Linked DNA regions of Tribolium castaneum. The protein of the gene in region 3 purifies or fractionates together with the protein of the main gene of each other region. This does not show direct contact. Links are inferred from orthologs where the notes say so. Each region holds a gene or a part of one and is shown on either strand. Other genes may lie near its edges.

Evidence for each region. The genes of interacting proteins can lie anywhere in the genome.
Region 1: the proteins of APC4 (region 3) and anaphase-promoting complex subunit 13 purify together in Homo sapiens (affinity purification with mass spectrometry; 9 studies listed by BioGRID and IntAct, counting the BioPlex papers as one, with this or other methods). This does not show direct contact. The link is inferred for Tribolium castaneum from reciprocal best matches to the Homo sapiens genes ANAPC4 and ANAPC13.
Region 2: the proteins of APC4 (region 3) and mr purify together in Homo sapiens (affinity purification with western blotting; 12 studies listed by BioGRID and IntAct, with this or other methods). This does not show direct contact. The link is inferred for Tribolium castaneum from reciprocal best matches to the Homo sapiens genes ANAPC4 and ANAPC2.

What each region holds. Positions count from the first base shown.
Region 1 is NC_087396.1:19,125,183-19,130,830, reverse strand, and holds anaphase-promoting complex subunit 13, read left to right. Parts: upstream 1-3,739; 5' UTR 3,740-3,873; intron 3,874-3,964; 5' UTR 3,965-3,966; coding exon 3,967-4,176; downstream 4,177-5,648. Other genes in the region: atlastin, read left to right, coding at 104-379, 427-588, 638-793, 850-1,135, 1,190-1,371, 1,425-1,628, 1,692-2,012; AN1-type zinc finger protein 1-like, read left to right, coding at 4,176-4,943; uncharacterized protein LOC100142251, read right to left, coding at 2,561-2,685, 2,734-2,807, 2,853-2,948, 2,994-3,426, 3,481-3,720, 4,963-5,119, 5,638-5,648. UniProt on the Homo sapiens protein: Component of the anaphase promoting complex/cyclosome (APC/C), a cell cycle-regulated E3 ubiquitin ligase that controls progression through mitosis and the G1 phase of the cell cycle.
Region 2 is NC_087394.1:29,186,603-29,194,330, forward strand, and holds mr (anaphase-promoting complex subunit 2), read left to right. Parts: upstream 1-3,960; 5' UTR 3,961-4,055; coding exon 4,056-4,648; intron 4,649-4,695; coding exon 4,696-4,834; intron 4,835-4,880; coding exon 4,881-5,034; intron 5,035-5,080; coding exon 5,081-5,339; intron 5,340-5,533; coding exon 5,534-5,688; intron 5,689-6,201; coding exon 6,202-6,741; intron 6,742-6,790; coding exon 6,791-7,029; intron 7,030-7,170; coding exon 7,171-7,371; 3' UTR 7,372-7,390; downstream 7,391-7,728. UniProt on the Homo sapiens protein: Together with the RING-H2 protein ANAPC11, constitutes the catalytic component of the anaphase promoting complex/cyclosome (APC/C), a cell cycle-regulated E3 ubiquitin ligase that controls progression through mitosis and the G1 phase of the cell cycle.
Region 3 is NC_087400.1:319,324-328,064, reverse strand, and holds APC4 (anaphase-promoting complex subunit 4), read right to left. Parts: upstream 4,796-8,741; 5' UTR 4,690-4,795; coding exon 4,578-4,689; intron 4,533-4,577; coding exon 4,404-4,532; intron 4,343-4,403; coding exon 4,182-4,342; intron 4,136-4,181; coding exon 3,416-4,135; intron 2,961-3,415; coding exon 1,884-2,960; 3' UTR 1,878-1,883; coding exon of another isoform or gene 1,788-1,877; 3' UTR 1,738-1,787; coding exon of another isoform or gene 1,594-1,737; 3' UTR 1,527-1,593; downstream 1-1,526. Other genes in the region: uncharacterized protein LOC659212, read left to right, coding at 1-151, 1,594-1,737, 1,788-1,877; CstF64 (cleavage stimulation factor subunit 2 tau variant), read left to right, coding at 5,007-5,058, 5,109-5,187, 5,233-5,656, 5,706-5,889, 5,946-6,075, 6,124-6,153, 6,209-6,297, 6,347-6,597; WD and tetratricopeptide repeats protein 1, read right to left, coding at 6,861-7,037, 7,249-7,445, 7,495-7,853, 7,909-8,018, 8,065-8,358, 8,409-8,589, 8,636-8,741. UniProt on the Homo sapiens protein: Component of the anaphase promoting complex/cyclosome (APC/C), a cell cycle-regulated E3 ubiquitin ligase that controls progression through mitosis and the G1 phase of the cell cycle.

The sequences.
Region 1 (5,648 bases), on a different chromosome or scaffold from region 3:
AATATAATATTAGAAATATAATGCCACATGGTAAAGATAATGCAATCTGGACCTCTTATGGATATATAAAAACTCGACAATCTATTATTGTTTTTAGTAGTGGATGTGTATTCGAAAACTTTTAGGTTCATTTATATTGTTTGTATTTGTATGTAATAAGGTATTGTTTGACACAATGGCAACTGAAGCTGTTCGGAGGGCTGTTCAAATTATTCGTAATGACAATAATTCAATTAGCCTCGACGTAAATGCCCTCCAAAATATTCTTTTGAGGGACGAAATAAGGAATAAAAAAATCTGTGTCCTTTCAATAACGGGAACTTTCAGACAAGGCAAATCTTTCTTATTAAACTTTTTTTTGAGATATCTGAAACTAAAGGTACGTATGGAATTTTATTTTCTATTTACTTTAATTAAAAATGCTAGCATGGGAGTTCTCCACTTGATCCCAATTCTGATTGGTTGGATCCCATACATGGGTCACATTTGTCGGATTTTTTGTGGGATCATGGGTCTAATGCTCATACCAATGGTATTTTAATGTGGCCAGAGATTTTTACTATTTATAAACCCTCGTCAAATGAAGAGGTAGCTAAATGATCGGTTTTATATTTAATATTTTAAATTGGACTTCCAGATTGCGGTTGTTTTGCTCGATACTCAAGGCTCATACGACAATCAAACAACCGTAGAAAATTCGGCAACGATTTTTGCTCTTAGTACAATGATAAGTTCCGTACAAATTTATAACGTGATGCGCAATTTGAATCAAAACGACTTGGAGTCTGTGGAGGTTTCTTACAAAATTATTGATCTTATTTAAAAAATTTAACGAAACATTATACTTAGATGTTTGGCCAATATGGGAGATTACTCACAAATGATGATTGCCCGTTTCAAGATCTTTGGATTTTAGTCCGAGATTGGCTTGCACCCTACGAAAGGCCATTTGGTATTCCAGGGGGTGAGTCTTTGCTTCAAGACAGGCTTTACGGTCAACATGATGCGCTTCCCGACGAAATAAATGAGCAAAGAAATAATGTGCGCAATTTATTTCAAACAATTAATTGCTCCCTGTTACCATTTCCTGGAGAGCGGGTAGCGGCCGATCATACTTTTAACGGAGATCTAAATGGTTTCTAAATAATTATATTTCCAAAACTGAATTTAACCAATGATTAATTTCTAGAAATTAATGACAATTTTAAGCGATACGTTAAGCAACTAGTTGAACGCATTTTTGAACCAGAAAACCTGGTAATAAAACGCTTTAACGGAGAAGAGATCACCGCCAATGATTTATTTCAATGTTTTGGCACGTATACTGAAATACTTGGGGATGGTTTACCACATGTTGAAACAAGACTAGCGGTATAATTAAGCGCTTCAGTTTAAAAAATTTGAGAAAACGCCACATGTTTCAGGCGACAATAAATAATCAACATAACGACGCTGTTGAAAGTTCTTTTGAACTATATGATCGACAAATGCATCATAATTTTTCCTCAATTTTATTACTTAATAATCACCACGAATCTTGTAAAACAAGAGCACTTGACAATTATCATAATACTAGATTATTAGGAAGCAGTCTCGTGTATGATAGATACGAACAAAGGCTTATCAGGGTAAGGACATCAATTAATGTTTTTGTAGGTATAACTATAATTATCTCTACGTATATCTCGTAGAAAATGGACGAACGGTTTTCGATTTACAGGGAAAGATTCGATTTTGATAGAGATCGCCAACTTGAACGTGAACGACGAAGAAATCAACAAGTGAGTCTTCAGCAGTTCAGACCATCACAGTCTTCGAGCCTCGTTTCACGAGAATCCCTTTCAACAGAAACGATAATTCTTCAATCCTTGCGTATTGCAACAGGACTTGCGGCAATTGGTTTTGGCATTTATGAAATAATTCGTCAATCATCTAGAGATACAGGAAATTCTAATACAAATAATTCTTCTTCCACAAGGCGGTACTCAACTGATGACTCTGATTCTACATAATCTACTAAAACCGATCTTTGTTAATATTTTGTATCTTATTACTTTTTTGGTAGTTAAATAACTTGCACCAGTGTCGGCCACTTTAAATAAAAAAATAAGCAGAAAGTTTGAGGCATTTTATTTGTGACAGTCAATTTATTTACAACCTCCGGTAACCCCAGCTTTCTGAAAACCGCGTTTTTAAAACCATTCACGTTTCTTAATCTTTCCCTGTGATATATGGTGGAGGCGCCGGGTAAAGACAAGTTTTACAACTACGTATACGCAACTAGTTACATTATTTTAATGATTTTTAGTGTTTTGGAACAAATTAGAACTATATGCATTATTCTTAAGCTCAAACAAACTTTTATCAAAAATGCAGCCTTTCATCTAATATTTCCATTTAAAAGCTTAGTAATATTGCCGCAATTTATTTCAAACAATTCAATGTTCTCTGTTGCCATTTCCTATACCTACATGTTTTAGTTTTTTTGGTAGTAATAAACGACCGACCAGTTGCACATATTATTTCAACGTTTTTTGTATTTTTATAAAATAATTACATTACTGCGTCTTGCGACGACGACTTTTCTTCTTTTGCATTATCAGCGAAAGCCTCATTTTGCGTTCAAACATAAACTCAAATGTGCTTTCAACTGACCCTCTTCCGCGATGCATATCATGAGGATTACTGCAATTACAAAAGTTTCAAACCGAATCAAATTCGGCACAGACTTACATAAACCAAGAAGATTTGGCAGCTGGTAAGCCCGTCGCGTGTTTCATTTCCCTCACAGAGGCAGTAAGTGCCATCTGAAAACAAAATTAAAAACGAACACCACTTGCACGCACAAATACTTCTTTGATTTGTTTCCGTCTCTCCCAAATCTTTAGATTTTTCTTCAGCAAGCCCAACTCAGCTTTCTTTTTCACATACTCTAAAACAGAAGGAACCTAAGGTACGATAGCCAAACTCACTTGCTTAATTCGAGCAAGAACCTCGTAATTTTCACTCTTGGTTTTAATTTTATCGTGCTCTTCCTTGGTTGCCTCCAGTTCTTCGGAAACCTTTTCACATTCGTCGTCGATTTTCCGAACCAACTCCTCTTGCATTTTGATTGTGTCTTGATACACTTTTAGATCGGTCACTTTCTTGAGCAGATGCTTCTTCTGATTGCTCAGCAGTAAATTCGCGCGGCCGTTCATTCTTTTCAGTTCGAGAAGCAGCAAATTCCTTTTATCGATTTTCTCCCTCAAGTGCTTATTATCAATTTCGAGCTGCTCAAAATCCACCTCTTGCAAGTGCTCGCCCAGTAACTTCTTCTGCGTTAATTGAGCGCATATTTTCTGGTACTGCACTTTTAGAGAGCTCGTCCTTAGGCGCAGTTTATCAATCGTAGCGCCAGTTTTTTTAAAAGTTTCGTCCATAAACCTGTCCGGCACACCACAGTCTTAAAATTAGTTTTTTAAGTGGGGATGTCTTTACCGACAAAAACGATCCGCTGGATTCTTTTGCGAATACTTTTCTGATAATTCGTTAGTAATAAATGTTCTTTCAAACGTATCTTTGATTTCTTGTATTTCACTTTCGCGAATTGCCATTTCCTCCAACTCTGCTTTCAATTTATGCCTAATAACGTAGCACTTTCTGTTGATTTTATTCAACGCTGCTTGAATATTGTCCATTTCTCGCAGTATCAAATCAGTCTTCTGCGTAATATTGATTCTTAAAATAAATATCAGTAAATTTAAATTCGCGCCAGGCACAGCGTCGCCAATTATTTAGAACAAAACTAAAAGAAACTAGAAAAAACGTTTGGAGGTAAATTTATTTGTGTTCATTTTGGCAATTTGCTGAATCACTGTGCTCCCAAATTTAGTAAGTGCCTTTAACAGCTGTATTCTAAGGCAGAATATTTGTATTTCTTGTTAGGTTTTTTGTGTAAAATTGCCATAACCCCACTTTCTAGGAATGGACAGTTCAGTGACTATTGATGGTTACTTTGTTGATTTAATTGACGATAAGTGGCGTTCCGAGAAGCTGCCTCACGACGATATCAACGTCCCCACGCACGAGCTCGCCGACCCCGAGGCCGACTCCGGAGACATCCACTTAACCCTCCAGGAGCAAGAACAAAAGTGGACCGACATTGCCCTCAGTGCACTAAGCGAACACCAGTGATGGAGCTCCCCAATTTAGGTCAGCAATGCGCCCATTCAAACTGCCAGCAGTTAGATTTTCTCCCTTTACAATGCAAATGCGGCAAACAATTTTGCTCGGAACATTTCAACAAACACGTCCAAGTGTGTGAAACCTCAACGAATGTTGAGGTAGAACCACAAAAAATTCAAAACGTGTTCAAATGCTCGTTCGAAAATTGTCACGAATCTAGTTTGGTCCCTTTGCTTTGCTCCACTTGTCGTAAACATTTCTGTATAAAACACCGGCATATCACCCAGTGTAGCGAGCCAGACGAGGAAACTCTCGCCCAAAAAAGGGAGAAACTGGCTGCGCCTGTGAGGCAGTTCAATGAAGCTAAGAGCGCGGTTGATAAACAAATCGAGCAAAATTTAATCGCGGCGAAAAAGAAGGGTAAAAATTTGGCAAACAAAGTACAACTCATGAAAATTAAAAATAAAGCGAAGGGGTTAAATAGTATTCCAACTTCAGACCGCGTTTACTTCAATGTTACACACCCTGAAACGGGGCACGTGACCCCCGTTTTCGTTTCAAAAATTTGGAGTTTGGGGCGCGCAATCGATGCAATTGCAAGTGAGTGTAAATTGAGGAATGATAATAACAAGAGTGGTGAAAAAAAATTAAGATTGTTTAAACAAGATAGTGGTGAAATTTCGAAAAATCTGGCGGACGGTCTTGAAAAACTGATCAGTGATGGTGTTATTATGGATGGGGAAAATCTTATAATAACTTATGTAGATGATAATTGAATAAATTTTTCAATCATACCTTGGTCCTTCTTTCTCTAATACTGTGGGGGTTATGGAACTTGTTGAGTATGACAAAATTGTTGACTGGCGCGAAGCTCTCGTCAGTGTCAGTCTTTTGGAAGAAAGCGAGGCACGGTCCTGGATTGTTTGGACGTTTTTCAACACGTTATCCATACCTGCACTTTCCATGTTTTAGTCATTACAGCCGAGGTGGGAATATTTTAATACGTGTTCATATTCAAATTACGGGAACGAGATACAAAATAAATCACTTTTCTGTATTCAGAACTACAGAACAATCCTATTTATCGAATTGCAGACGTTCTAAGCAATGTAATATAATGTTTATTAATTTAATTTTACCTGGAAATGATAAAAACTGCAGAAAACTTAAATGTTAATTAGGATTAAGGTGAATTTTTATGTTATTGTAGTTTCCTTATTTTTTATTTTGTGGTGTATATATTTCACCTTTTACTCATTAGCCTCGAGGATAGACGAAGCCCGAGGATGTAATGAAATTCCTACCGAGTTTTGTACGCTATTTTATCCACAATCACACTTGTTTAAATTAACGAATACAGAAAAGTTGATGCATTTAGTTGCTATTCAAATAAACCTCTTGACCAAGGGATGCAATCACGTATTTCCCGACAGTGATTGTGGATGTAGAATTTTATAGTTTATTTTAAACCTTCGAGTAGT
Region 2 (7,728 bases), on a different chromosome or scaffold from region 3:
CGCATTTAAAGATTTTAATTGCAATTAAGTTTTATGAAATTATTGGTTTGTGAAATAAATAAATACGACACAGCAATAAAATGCACCTACCTTCATATCGCTTCCACGTTGGCTACCGTTTGTAGCATTAAAAAAAATAATAATAAAGATGAAACCAAAAAAAATGTTTATTTGCATTAAATTTTGAGCAAGCCACTTTCATTCATTGAAATTAAAGGCAAAATTTCGTGGCAATAAATTATTTGAGTGGTTTATTTTATTTATAGTTACTGTATTTAAAATGTGTCACTCAAAATATCACTTTTCAATACCGCATTTATAGATTTTAATTGCATTTAAGTTTTATGAAATTATTGGTTTGTGAAATAAATAAATACGACACAGCAATAAAATACACCTACCTTCATATCGCTTCCACGTTGGCTACCGTTTGTAGCATTAAAAAAAATAATAATAAAAATGAAACCAAAAAAAATGTTTATTTGCATTAAATTTTGAGCAAGCCACTTTCATTCATTGAAATTAAAGGCAAAATTTCGTGGCAATAAATTATTTGAGTGGTTTATTTTATTTATAGTTACTGTATTTAAAATGTGTCACTCAAAATATCACTTTTCAATACCGCATTTAAAGATTTTAATTGCATTTAAGTTTTATGAAATTATTGGTTTGTGAAATAAATAAATACGACACAGCAATAAAATACACCTACCTTCATATCGCTTCCACGTTGGCTACCGTTTGTAGCATTAAAAAAAATAATAATAATATAAATGAAATAAAAAAAAAATGTTTATTTGCATTAAATTTTGAACAAGCCACTTTCATTCATTGAAATTAAAGGCAAAATTTCGTGGCAATAAATTATTTGAGTGGTTTATTTTATTTATAGTTACTGTATTTAAAATGTGTCACTCAAAATATCACTTTTCAATACCGCATTTATAGATTTTAATTGCATTTAAGTTTTATGAAATTATTGGTTTGTGAAATAAATAAATACGACACAGCAATAAAATACACCTACCTTCATATCGCTTCCACGTTGGCTACCGTTTGTAGCATTAAAAAAAATAATAATAAAAATGAAACCAAAAAAAATGTTTATTTGCATTAAATTTTGAGCAAGCCACTTTCATTCATTGAAATTAAAGGCAAAATTTCGTGGCAATAAATTATTTGAGTGGTTTATTTTATTTATAGTTACTGTATTTAAAATGTGTCACTCAAAATATCACTTTTCAATACCGCATTTATAGATTTTAATTGCATTTAAGTTTTATGAAATTATTGGTTTGTGAAATAAATAAATACGACACAGCAATAAAATGCACCTACCTTCATATCGCTTCCACGTTGGCTACCGTTTGTAGCATTAAAAAAAATAATAATAAAGATGAAACCAAAAAAAATGTTTATTTGCATTAAATTTTGAGCAAGCCACTTTCATTCATTGAAATTAAAGGCAAAATTTCGTGGCAATAAATTATTTGAGTGGTTTATTTTATTTATAGTTACTGTATTTAAAATGTGTCACTCAAAATATCACTTTTCAATACCGCATTTATAGATTTTAATTGCATTTAAGTTTTATGAAATTATTGGTTTGTGAAATAAATAAATACGACACAGCAATAAAATACACCTACCTTCATATCGCTTCCACGTTGGCTACCGTTTGTAGCATTAAAAAAAATAATAATAATATAAATGAAAAAAAAAAAAAGGTTTATTTGCATTAATTTTGAACAAGCCACTTTCATTCATTGAAATTAAAGGCAAAATTACGTGGCAATAAATTATTTGAGTGTTTTATTTTATTTATAGTTACTGTATTTAAAATGTGTCACTCAAAATATCACTTTTCAATACCGCATTTAAAGATTTTAATTGCAATTAAGTTTTATGAAATTATTGGTTTGTGAAATAAATAAATACGACACAGCAATAAAATACACCTACCTTCATATCGCTTCCACGTTGGCTACCGTTTGTAGCATTAAAAAAAATAATAATAAAAATGAAACCAAAAAAAAATGTTTATTTGCATTAAATTTTGAGCAAGCCACTTTCATTCATTGAAATTAAAGACAAAATTATTACGTGGCAATTAATTATTTGAGTGTTTGATTATAATTTTATTTACTGTATTTAAAATGTGTCACTCAAACGCGATCACTAGTCACCGAATTGAAAATTTAAACCGGAAAATTTAGATTTGTTTGAGCACACGTCCGTTCGCGACAACGGCAAGTAACAAACTGAATAAATTGAAGGAAACCGCACAATACACAATAATTTAAATAAACCGACCCGACTCACCTCGCCTCCTGCTTCCCGCTCACGATCTGACCCGTGCCATTGCTCGCTGTCGACTGAAGCGCTCTCGCCGCCTGCGCCGCACACCTAACCTCGGGACACGTCACGGATGTGACGTCACTTAAGTCTAAAACAAGTCATTACCAGAAATATTCACTGGAAAAATTCGTCAAATTTAGAAACATTCATACACAGAATTATTTAAAATAGAACAGCATTGATCTAAAAAAATTAATTATGACAAATGTATTTGCCTATAAACGTCTAAAATTATAAAAGTTTCGCATGCAGTCAATGGAAAAATAAAAATGCATGTTTTTATTTAAACAGAAACTGGCAATGTGAAATTTTGGTGCGAAAATTAGTGGTATCGCAATGCGTATAGCAACATTGTTTGTTTGTTTCGTTTTGTTGAAAATTCGGTAGGTTTCAAAAGTAGGGTTATGTTGTCACCCGAAAATGACAAAATTTACACTTTTATGAATTTTGTCTCCATCTCTGCCCTTTCAGAGCGTTATGATAGGATATTTAGGGTCGAAATCTCTACCTTTATTATGTGCTATTGCCAGATAAGGACAAAAGTTCAGAAAGTAGGGTTAGGGTGTATTATGCTCTCTTCTGAAGTGTTAAATTTTAACTTTAATGTTTTTTGTGTGCTTTCCTGCTCTTCTAGAGCGCTATTAATTATTATTGAACATGTTTAAGGACAGACAAATCTACCTTGAGTCAACGACATAAATTTCAGTGAGATTTATTGAAAAATGCACTTCTCGTGTCAACCTTTTCATGAAAAAGGGTGTTTAAACGTTTATAAAGGGTATGTTAACGTGTGTTGTTAACTTTACCACGTAATAAAACATAAAGTATAACTTGGTAATTTTTTACTTTAACTACTTCTGGATTTTCAAGCTGAAACTTACACCAAACGATTCCTCTGAGTGCCCTGATGACCGTACACTATGAATTTTCTTGTGCAAATTGAAAATTACATTAGAAAAATAATTTTTATTTTCACTCACTTTTTACTTGAATCGCCATTTTTGTTGATTTTAATTTGAGTTTATTTTTTATAATATCACGTTAATTTTTATTATTATAGTGGATCAAAGTGTCGTCTTTAGGTTAGACTATTGCCTACTATCGGTTAGGAACAACATGATCTCCAAAAATATAACGTAGTAATGAGCTCCAGAAGGTTTACGTAGATAGGTGCGTTTTTCCCAAAAGTGAGTTTTTTGAGATCGAACCGCAAGTGAGTCACACTGCGAGGAGACTCCCATAGACAGAAGTTGCAAACATAAGGTGCCAGACCGGTGCCAGTTTGGCTGATTGCAAGTATGTCTTTATCATCGATTCGGTGACGACTATTAGTTTCGTAAACTTAATGGATTTAATAAATATCTTTAACATTAAATGTGATCGTGTCATGTTGGGTAAAATTCTTCCATCTGTGCTGTCTGTGGATCCACCTTTTCAAATACAATTAAGAAATTTTCATAATAATTGTATTTGATAAGGTATTGGCATCATTTTGACGTGAGCAAAAATTAAAAAAATATAAAGTAATCGGAATTATTTTAAATTTGCGCCATTTTTAGTACGTGATGATGCGGCTAGATGGCTTCAGCTAGGAATTCATTGCCAACCATTATGTTCCGCTTCTATAAAAGTGTTATTCTAGGAACAGAACCTAAAAGTTTGTCAGTTTTTTACGTTCAGCAATTATTATTTTTACAATGAATAATCAAAACCTGGACTTAAAAAGTGCGTGGATTACGATTAAAGAAGCTTTTCCAATCTTAGAAAGTCCTTCAAAGATCCCTGATAATGATTTCGACTCTGCCCCTTTTGAGGCAATCAGCATTATCAAAAGGCTCAATTTAACACAGCAAATTCAGGATTTGGTCATAATTAAAATAGAAGAACGTTTGAGGAAGGAAATAGTCCCAGATTTTTGGTCCCACTTTAAGAAAACCGAGAACGAGGCGGCAGTTTTTCACGAGTTCTACAGTGTGGTTAAATTTTTGTTTCACAATTATGTGCAGCTCGATTTAATTATTAACAAGTTGATACTGTTGAGAGAAGCAAGCAATTTCACTAAACCAGTGTACAATCAAACTTGCCTGCATGAAGCTTTAAAATTAATCGTTAGGGCCGTCTTGTTATCCCAACTCCCCATTGATCATGAATGGATGATAGTAAATTTTTACGAAACGGCGCTTAAAATGCAGGACCCGGAGGAAGAAAATAGCACAAGTGGGGAGTGTGTTGTGTGCATGCAAGAGGAATTTTCCTGTTCTTGTCGTGAAATGTTTGAAGAAACTAATAAGTAAATAGTTTTGTTTTTTATTTTTTTACTCAAATATTTGTGTCTAGGAAATTGGGCAAGATGACTTTATTGGAACCGTTAGTTGGCCAGGCTCTCACTGATTTAATTTATAGTTACATTCAGACACATATCCAGAAAATCTGTAAAGACAATTTTGATAATTCGCACATTGAGAGTCTAGAAAAGGTAGAAATCAGTCGTTTCTTGAATCGATTATACGAATTATTTTCAGTGGCTTCAAACGGTTGTTATTTCATGGTTGAAAAAAATTTACTTTCATAATTCGGCAGTCAAGGCCATGGATGAGTTTGACAAAAAACTAATCAATTATTTATACAACACTTACACCAAAATACGAATAGATCAGTTATTTAACATCATAATTGGTAAAAATTATTGTTTTTGTGGCAGTCTGTCATCAAATATTTTCAGAATATCCTGATTCTCTTCCGGCCCTTGACGACCTTCGACTATGCCTTCCAAAAACCGACCTAAAACCCCACTTAACTCGGTCGTTGCAAAAAGCAATTGAAACAAGATTATTACATCCAGGAGTAAGCACGTTTGACGTTCTGACGGCTTACGTGGCTACAATTCGGTCATTGCGGATTTTGGACCCCTGTGGACTGCTTCTAGAGACAATTACTCAACCGGTTCATCAGTATTTAAGGAGTCGGGAAGACACAATAAGGTTTAATAATTAAAAAAAAATGGTCTAGTTGGCATATTTGACGTTTAAGTGTCAAATTTTCATAGCTAACTGGAATTTCGGAAAGACAATAAATAGTGTAGTTGGCCTTGAATGACATTTAAGTGTCAAATTTCCACAATTAAGGGGCACTTTGTGTACAATAATTCCGAAATAGGGCGAAATTTTTAATACAGGTGTGTGGTGGGTAGTTTGACTGAAGAGGGCCCAAATGATTTAGCTGAAGAGCTGGTCCGGGGCGAAGCCGTGCAAGTGGACGAGAACATTTCGGTCGATGAGGGGGTTGAAGACTGGGAAACGTGGACCCCAGATCCGGTAGATGTCGTCCCCAGTAAGTGTCTTTTTATCGCTTTGAGGGAAATCGACGTTGGCATTTCCATAGTTTTGAAACAGAGAATAGTCACTTTTGACAAATGATTTTTTCTTCTTACGGTGACAGTTTATTTAAATTTAATAATTCTAGTGCTTAGTCACCAACCAGCAAACTAAATTATAAAAAAATATTTATTTTTGAGTTATTTGTTACAAAAAAATTGTACTTATTAACTTGTTTAGGTGCTAATTTCCTATATTTGCAATTCATGTCCTCCCCTCCTCTCCCCTCGGTCGTGCTGTAAACCACCTGCTTATGTGAAAAATTGCTTTTTTAAACGATTTATTAAATAACGACAACTGATTTTTTCCATTTACATTTTACATGATTATTTATTGTCCTCAAGAAGCCCAAAAAGTTGACGAAACGTAAGCAACAATTATAAACCAAATAAGCTTTGTCTGCCTTCCCAATAATAATTAGACTTATCCCACGTATAATATAAATAACTAATTCCCTCGAAAAATTAAGGCAAATCTTCGGGACTTCCCCGCACTTCTGACATCATCTCAATGCTTGTCAACGTCTACGGCAGTAAGGAGCTGTTCGTCAACGAATACCGCACCTTATTAGCCGATCGTCTTTTGTCGCAATACTCCTGCGACACCGAGAAAGAAATTCGTTATCTTGAACTCCTGAAGTTGCGCTTTGGTGACTCCCAACTCCACTTTTGCGAAGTTATGTTGAAAGATATCGCCGATTCGAAGCGAATCAATCAACATATTCAGCAAGACTTGAGTTATTCAGACGATGATATTCCCATGTCTGCCATGATCCTAAGCGCACAGTTTTGGCCAGCGTTCAAGGACGAGAAGCTTGAACTCCACGAAAAATTGGTGAAACAGATGGAGAGTTACACTGGTGCTTTTGAAACTTTAAAAGGTAGCAGAACCCTGTGTTGGAAAAATCATTTAGGAATTGTGGATCTTGAAATTGAATTGGCGGATAGGACTTTGAATTTGTCGGTTTCACCGGTGCATGCGACGATTTTGATGCACTTCCAAGATCAGAGTGAGTCAAAAAGATCAAGATTTTAAGCGACTTATTTTTTCGTTTCAAGATACTTGGTCTTTGGAAGCTTTGAGTAAAGTAATGCACGTTCCGTCGACAATTTTACGGCGCAAACTGAGTTTCTGGCAATCACACGGGATCATAACTGAGCCCGAACCCGACGTTTTTTATCTACAGGAGGAACAGGAAAATAACGAAAATAATATACAGGATGATATTGTTGTTGAAGATTTTGAATCAGAGTCGGCGATGGCCAGCGCTCAAGACCAACGCGAAGAGGAATTACAGGTAAAAAATCTATACAAATTGGCTATAACTTTGAAATTACGTTGGTAATAAAGTCAGTTGTCAATGCTGCCAACCTAATTTCAGTATCATAGGTCAATCTGTACTGAAGTTTATGGGAAAACATGTTATTTTTTTTAACAGACTTTCTGGTCGTACATTTTGGGTATGTTGATGAATTTGGACACTTTACCTTTGGAGAGAATCCACCAAATGTTGAAAATGTTCGCATTCCAAGGACCCACAATTGAGTGCAATTTGCAGGAACTGAAAGTGTTTTTAGATAGGAAAGTTAGAGAGCATCAGTTGATTTATTCAAACGGACTGTATAGATTGCCTAAATAGCTTTATTTTATATTTATAAGTCTTTGCATTTTGCTACCTACGTATTCCTATGATCCTAGTCCATAACTCAATTTAAAATTTTATAATTTTTAGAGGTTTTTGTATTCAACCAACTATACGACGGAAAGCAGTTGGATTGCCTATTTTTATGAAAGTTAGCAAAATTTTGGACAGAAAATGTTTAAGACAATGAGTGTATATCGCGGACCCCAATTATCTTATGCCCCAAATATATTTGGGGGGATAATTTTTTTTATTAAAATAAGAAAAAGAGCGCGCAAAGTATAAAAAATAGCAAAAAATACTCGTTTTACAACGGTTTTGGCGCTTACGGCTCATTTTCTAACTTGGCATTGT
Region 3 (8,741 bases):
CCTCCAAGGGGGCATGGATGGGGATGGGCATCCCATTTACGTTGGTAGAGCCTACCATGAAGGTGACTTGATCCCTGCCAAAGTGATTCCCGGCAAAAACGCCGCCTATGTCTCTCACAACGGACAGGAACACCTCGTTGAAAATTTCCAAGTAATATACTGGGTGTTTCTATTTGATATTTATCCCCTTGTAACTTTTTTTTAAAGTAAAACAAGCATTTTTATCCGCAAAAGTGACAAATATTGTGACTAAATGTCACAGGCAACAGTTCTATTTTTCGGCCATTATATGCATATGCATATTCTTGAGATTTTTTTTTCGAACATATGGACTTTTTTTGGACTTTTAACAACTCCAGAGGGATGTAAAGGCATAGAAAAGTCCATAAAACTATGCTAGAATGGGTTTGTAAAAAAAATATTTTTTTCACGTTTTTGGAAGAAAGTGTATTATTATTACTCAGAAAATTTTAGCAAAAATTCTCATTCACGGCTAAACTATTCCAGAAAGTGGAACTATTTTGTTCCATACCTATACAAAATGATCCGGGGAATCGATTGGCATCGAGAAAATTGCCAAATTCCCAATAGTTTTTTAGTTATGAATTTTTTAAAATTTTACTAATTTTTGCATTTATCTCCAATTTGCTCGAAAACTATTAGTCGGAGAACAATAATTTTTTTTGAAAAAAATAGATAATATAAAGAGCTTTCCAACGATAATACACTTCGTAGGGTTATCTCTAAAAGTTCCGGAGCTATTGCTTGACAAAAGTTCCGGGTACCGAAAATCGACAAAATTTGCGACGAAAATTGAAAAAATCAAACATCAAAAAATCGAACATATGGACTTTTTGTGGACTTTTAACAACTTTTGTGGGTTGTTAAGACATGTAAAAGTCCATAAAAATTTACTGGAGTGAGTTTAAAAAAAATTTTTTTTCACCACTTTGAAGGTAATTTTAGCAAAAAAATTGAAAATTTTAGATCTCGTGAAAAGTTGGTATAATACAGAAAATGAGCCGCTGAATTCAATGGAACAAACCGCATTGCTCCTCGACTTTTAGTTTTCGAGTTATGAATTTTTTAATAAATAACCCGGCGCATCCACCAATTTTAAAATTAAAATATATATTTTTTTAAATTTCTCGAGTAAGCTAGTGTTGTGAAAAGGCTAGTATTCTAAGCAATTTAAGCAGCAGAATTCACTGCAACAAACGGTTTTGCTCTACGACTTTTAGTTTTCGAGTTATAAATTTTTTGGTTGAATAAAATTTTCCACTATAAGAAACAACTATCTTAATTTTTAGCAAAAAATTTTAAAACTTTAGATCTCGTTAAACGTTGGTATAATTCAGAAAATGAGCCGCTGAGTTCATTGGAACAAACCGTTTTGCTCTACGACATTTAGTTTTTGAGCTATGAATTTTTTTTGTTGAATATGGGAAAATAAAGCCCTTTTATATTTTGTTTTATAATCTCGTTATTTAATTTTTTGTATCTGTACAAAAACTAAAAGAAAACAATTTTTCTTCCACCTTGCAAGGTTAATTAATAAGGAAAACGAATTTATTTATTTTTTAAAATTTTCAGGTTTTATGTAAACAATACTTCGAGTGGGTACAATCGCACGCCGGCCACTTGCCACCAGGGGCGGTCCAAGGGGGGCACACCAGCGAAGGGGAGCCCCTTTACATAGGCCGCGCCTACCACGAAGGCTCCCAAACAATTGGCAAAGTACTTAACTCACCCTTATAAATTTTAACCCTTGATCATTTATTTTCCAGATACACCCCAGCCATGGTGTCTGCTACATAGCATACGGCGGCGAAGAAATCGCTTGTCCCGAATACGAAACTTTAGTCCTTAGAATGTAAATAAAGTCATTCTTGTACCCCACTATTGTTCATCTCCGCATCTTCCTCCTCCTCTTCCTCCCCCTCCATTTCATACAAGCGCACCTTCCTCCGATTTTCCGCCAATACGATACCGACACGTCGACTCCCCGACACTGCAAACTCCGCCCCCACCATCCCCTCCACACACTTAAACAGCTTCGGAACCAAACACGAACCGTTCAAACTAACCACGTTAACCGCACCACTAAAAACACGATCTGTCTCCCCCCCATCCACAAACTTGTCCAAAACGCCACCTATCGGTATCTGACTTAAAACTGTAGCTTTAGAAACGGTGTTTTCTTGCAATAAAACCGACAATACTGCACTCGAATATAGTTTAATATCGATCACGTGATAATTATCCTCGGAATTGTCACGGGGGAAGTACAGACGCGCACACTTTATGAAACAATTGCCATCGTCTAGATACACCTGCAGGCCTAGAACGGTCTCAGGCGGCTGCAAGTAACAAAAAAGAATCGATTCTTTGTTTAAGTTGACTTGGGACGTCCGTAACGAATCGCCGCAAAATTGGAAACAATTGAAGTCATTCAAATGACTGAACTGCCTACTAATTTGCTCTCTAGGTGTCGCGAAAATCGCATCGACGCTTTGCTTCAAATGCTTGTACTGTTGTATCAGCGACATCTCTTTGAAGTGCCTCAAAATGGAACTATTTTTTTCGATGCATTGGTTCTGGGCCAAAAAATCAGTCCATTCGTTCCCGGACATGTCTGGTTGGATCGTCAAATTGCCATCGCTTAAATATTGCCCCAACCGCTCCATAATGAACCCCTTTTGTTTGTTATTCCGACTGATGTGGTCAAAGTTTTGCAAAAATTCGGTGATGTAAGCCAGGTCTTGCTGAGTCATTTTGGGGATTTCGTTCGGTATTGGCTCATCCAGAACGTGCATTATTGCCGTGTAGAGCCAGCGGAAGAAGGCCTTGTAATTGATGATGGAGTGATTGATGATTTGCTGCATTTCGCTGCCTTTGATCAAGAAGGCGCCGTTCGAGGAAATGGCGCCGGTAATGGCGGCCGCGTCCAAACCCAAAACCTACAATCACCCAATCACCATTTTTTACACTAATAACTTCTTTTCAATTGAAACGCGTCCTAAACGTGGGAGCGAAAAGCCGAAAAAGGCGTTTTAAAGCCGTCAGGGGTTTCCCCGAATATTTTGGACTTTTTTCACGTAGTATTTGCTCGATTTTAAACTAAATATTTATTTATTTTGCCAGATAGTATTTTGTTCGTTTAAAAAATCAGACACTATATTCGTTTCAAAGCAAACCTGATTGATATTTGTTTGTTTCACTCAATGTAGCTTGTTGCGTAAAATTTCGTCTAAAATACGCCTGTTTTTTAACTATTTCTCAGACTTTGAAATTATCGAACTAAATGTGATTTTTCCATTTTTGTGCATTTTTGATGGTTTTTCTTGCCAAGTTCACACAAAATTAAATTTTAATTTTTTTGTTGAGTTGGCAGCCACCACACACTTGTACCAACCTTATAGCGGTGTTCCAGTCTTGCCATCCCCCTCATTTCGGCCAAGTGATAGGTAACATTCTGCCCAAACTTCATCACATACTTCAGCATCAACTTCTGAATGTTGGAATAACTCATCTCAATCGTCTGCCCGAACTTCTCCAACCCTTTCTTCGTTAAATCGTGTATGAGAAAGGTCTTCATCTCATCCGAGCAAATTCCAAACGTCAGCAAATCCAAAAAATCAGCCGTGACGCCCCCTTCTGGCACCTTGCTCGCATATTTCGACAACTTGTTGTCCATCTCCAGCAAAATGCTCTCCCAGGACTCGGTGATGGTGGTAATAGTGTTGGAGAGATAGGTCACCAGTGAGGTCAATTTTATGTGTTTGAGGGCCAAAGCGAACAGTTCGTTTGTGTGCGTTTTGAAAATTTCCGAATCGAAACAAATCAATTTAACGTTGTTTTCGTTGTCTCGCACTGTGAAAAACATGCGGTTCAGGTCCTCGTTCAAATGCATGTTCTGGATGGAGCAAAGACAGTTGAGAGTTTGCTTCAAGTCAAGGGAAGCGCACGGGAAACAACCGAAAACTCGCACGTGCACGGTGCCCTCACTTGTCCCAATCAGGAGCAAATTAAAGTCGGTTTGCTCTTGCAAAATGTTGGTTTTCTGACCATCGTCGTTGTTGGGGGAATCGAACTGTTGTAGCACCGGTTCGGGCAAAAAATTACCCGATAAGTCCTACAACTGGGAAATTAAACGAGCACTAACATTCGGGTTTTTTTACAATGTGTTTCATGTACTGATTCTGTTTACTGTCTTCGTCAACTGAAGGCAGTTTCCCTTTAACAGTCCGGTCTTGCAACCAATTGAGACATGAAACTTCGCCCTTGATGTCAATAGTGTGCAACACCGACTTATTCTCGACCTTCACAAGCAGTATTTGGCCTGAAATTGCACAAAACAATGGATTTAAATTATTTCCAATACTTTTTTTACAATATTTTACCAGAACTGTACGCAATTGCTATGATTTTGCCGTCAGGCCTCCAGGCAATACTTGTGACCTTTAACCCATCCTTGGGGGCACTGAGACTCCACGCTTTGGTCCAAGTGAGTCGATGAAGAGCCACCTCTCCTACAAAGACACCCAAAAATGCCGGTTACTGCAAATGGGGGTTACCTTTGATATTGGCAAGAGCGACAAGGTCCATACGGTCGCTCCACACCATTTGAACAATCTCACTGGCCACATTGCGCTCTTCGAGCTGTTTAATCGCCTGAACTGTGCTCATTTTCCAACAATTAGTAACAAAAAACAATTTTCAAATTGTAAGGTTACGTTTAATTCTGTCATGGGTACCAACTGTGCGTCTGGACCCGATTTGCTTTATTTAGCCAAATGTGCACAAACAGGCCTAGTCAGGCGTTACGATTCACTTTAGGGTTGTAACCACAATAGATAAACCAACATTTTTGTTATTGTTGGCTTTAAAATGCATAATTTTGTACTTTTTTAAAAGGTAGAGGGTTGGTAACGCTGACCGTTTGTTGAAATTGGTGTCCCAGGTGTCTTGATTACTTCGTTCCAAGTTGGAATTAAACAATCACCATGGATAATTTAGAAGCAAATATCATGGACAAGTCAATGCGTTCGGTCTTTGGTACAAATTATTTAAATTTTAAGTGATAATTATAACCCCATTGCTTCCAGTGGGCAACATCCCCTACGAAGCCACCGAAGAGAAGCTCAAAGACATTTTCGGCGAAGTAGGCCAGGTCCTGTCATTCAAGTACGTTGCCCTGCCCCCTGAAGCCCCCTAACGCCTGAATTTTAGGTTGGTTTTCGACCGCGAGACAGGCAAGCCCAAAGGCTACGGCTTCTGCGAGTACCGCGACCAGGAGACGGCGCTCAGCGCCATGCGCAACCTCAACGGGTACGAGATCGGGGGGCGCAACCTCCGGGTCGACAACGCCTGTACCGAGAAATCGCGCATGGAGATGCAAAACTTGCTGAACCAGCCCCCGGTCGAGAACCCCTACGGCGAGCCGATTCAGGCCGAGAAGGCCCCCGAGGCCATCAGCAAAGCCGTGGCCTCGTTGCCCCCCGAGCAGATGTTCGAGTTGATGAAGCAGATGAAGCTCTGCATTCAGAACAACCCCACTGAGGCCAGGCAGATGCTGCTGCAGAACCCCCAGTTGGCGTACGCTCTGCTGCAGGCGCAGGTGGTTATGAGGATTATTGACCCGCATACGGCGGCTGTGAGTTGGGGGTTTGGGGGCGTATTTATATTTTATTGGGGGGTTTTAGACAATGTTGCATCCGCAAAATCCCGTTCCTTCGTCTTTGACGCCCAAGGAAAAGACTAATCCAGGCCCCATTCCGATTAACAGTAATTATGTCTCGAATCCCACGCCTGTGCAGCCCCCAAGACAGGACTTTCAGCCGGTGCCAGCCCCCGCGATTCATAATAATTCCAATCCGGTCTTCACAGGTGATTTTTTTTATCACAATTGATTATAAATAATAATAATGTTTGCGTTATTGCAGGTCAAGACGTTGATCTAAGATCACTGGACCCCCGAGGGGCTGATCCTCGCCTCAGCCGCCTGGGCGACCAGGACATGCGCACTTTGCCCGGACAACTCCCCAACCCCCTTCCGCCGCCACTTGTCGAAAAGTAAGTAAAATAATTCAACCTTGAGCCCTTTTACTCAAATTTAAACAGTTTCACTAAGCAGGATCAGAAATTGGAAAGGTAAATAACCATTTACAATTGATTAGAAATACAATTTACTGATACTTTTTCTTAGCTTTAATAGGGACCCACGTGGAGGTCCGGCCAACTTCCCATCTGATCCGAGACAACAACAGCGAGCTGACCCAAGACAGAAAAATATGCGTATGTGTGAAGTACGTAATTGAATTGGTTGTTGAAAGTCTGATTTTAGCCCCTCAGCAAAACGCGATGCCTCCGCAGCCGGTCAGAGCCCCGCAGGGGCCCCCCAGTACCCCCCAAGTTCGCCAAGCTGCCAATGTTGCTTCAAGTATAGGTACAGCTGGGGCCTCAGACCAGGAAAAGGCGGCCCTGATTATGCAAGTCCTGCAATTGTCAGATGAGCAGATTGCAATGCTGCCACCTGAACAGCGTAATAGTATTCTAGTTTTGAAGGAACAAATCGCCAAAAGTGCACACCGTTGATTAATTAAGTCATTTCCCCAAATCAGTTTAATTTTTACAGTTTACATGATAATTAAAAAATCTTTAAAATTATTAACATAAACACTATTTACAGTATTGTGTATATATCATTTAAAAATCAACAACAAAAACGCACCCTCTAGAAAGTACAAAATAAATGAGCGATTCCTTCGGTTGTTTACGATTAAATTGTAAACAAGAGGTGGATTTATTCGTTTGCAACTTTCAGTTACAAATCTGGTTGTAATGGTTTTGTTAAAAAATTAGCTAGTTCGGCACGTTGGTACTTCTTGAATGGACGATCCGTCTAAAGCGCTTCCTTCGATCTGGTAACCCATGCTCGCCAACATTGATTCGAATGGGTCCATTGACATGCGATGCTGATTTGTTTCGACTACAGTGGAGATGCATTTGACGATTCGGTTGTTCACTTTGCCGTCCTAAATAAACGACAACGGAAACTCCAACATTAATAAAATTAATAGAAAAAAGTTACTATATTTCGGAGAAAAATTTCCGATCAAGTGACTAAGTTATCCGTTTTCGAAAAATCATACTAGCCTTTTTTTTGGAACCTTTATCGAATTAAAAAAAAGCCGTAATGTAGAGTGGCCAACTTAATTTCAAAGTGAGACCAGCAATTGTGCTTACCTCAGGCCGAGGCGACCATATTTTAACGGCCGTATCAATCCCGCTGGACGCTATAACACAGGCACTAGGGTGTGGTTGAATGCAATTAACTATCGAGTTATCTCCAAAGAGAGCCCTAACCACATTCATACTCTTCTTATCCCAGATAAAAATGATCCCTTCGTCCGATCCTGCACAAATATAATTATCACAATCACCTGAAAGCCGCCGTGAAAAAACCAACACTCTACAACCACCACAAACAACCTAAAAAATTCGCCTCCTTGATATCAGTCGTGGTATTACAATGCCCTATGTAAATCTTCTCAAAATCGAACGAATCCAAACGTAACTTTTTCTCATCATCTTCCACCTTCTTCACTCCCGTCTCCTCAAACTTGACGCTGTTTTTGAGCGCTTGCAACTCCTCAACGAGGAATTTCACCTGCGAGGAGGTTTCACATTCGGGGTAAAGTTTTGTAAAGTGTTTCAACCAAGCGTTGGCTTCGTCTTCCCACTTCATGGCAATTAGGCATTTGATTAATCCAATGTAAGCCTGTTTATGGTCCGGCCAATGCTGAATCACGTGTAAATAATCACGTGCTGCCGCATACAAATCGCCCATCCTAACAAGAAAAAAAAAATTAACAAGCCTTTTTTTTTGGCTATTTGTCTCAATACCACTTGCGTTGGTACGCCTGTAGCGCCCGCCTCATGTAAAAGCAGGCACAGTCCGTGTTTTTCTCAAACAAGTCGGCGCTGACCCCGTTAAGTTCAGCCAACAGTACGTTCTAAAAAAAATTGCATTTTCCTAGTAGTGACTGGGGGGATAATTACCGGTTGGCAACAATTCCGGTAGGGTTGATGGGGCCGTTTAGGTAAGTTTTGGGGGATTTTGAGTTCGTTAATGTGTCGGCTATTATTTACATCAAATAAATAAATCTGTTCACCCCCGATATTTACCAACATTTCTGAACCGGCGGAATTGAACGCGATATAAGTGACTGATAGTTTGATGCTCATAATGCCGGCATTTTCGCGTGCCAGGTGCCCGGGGGCGTAGTATTGCACACAGTCGCTGTTTTGGGGCTGCGGGGACGTCCTCTTCGACGGATTAAACGACAAATTCGCCTGAAAACCCAAAAAATGCAAGTTTTTCCCCAACATTTTACCTATTTTACCATTGATACTTTGATCATCCTCCTGTCATACAAGCGCACGAAGCAGTCGTTGGCGCCTATTGCGATATAGTGCGATTTTGTGGGATTCACAGCAATGCATTTGATTTCCGATTTGAAGCTTAGGTCGACTAAGACCTTGCTTTGCGTGGGACACTCGTGGGGTTCCCGCAAGTCGTATTGCCTGCAAGTGAGTTAAGGTGTTTGGTTGGGCAAAACAGTTGCCTTACACAACTAGGCCATCTTCGCCCGCTGACCAGAACAGAGTAGGCTGGTCGGGGGCCGTGGCCAGGCGTTTGACCCGGCCGATGTGGCACGCGCAGTCCAGCAAGGGGG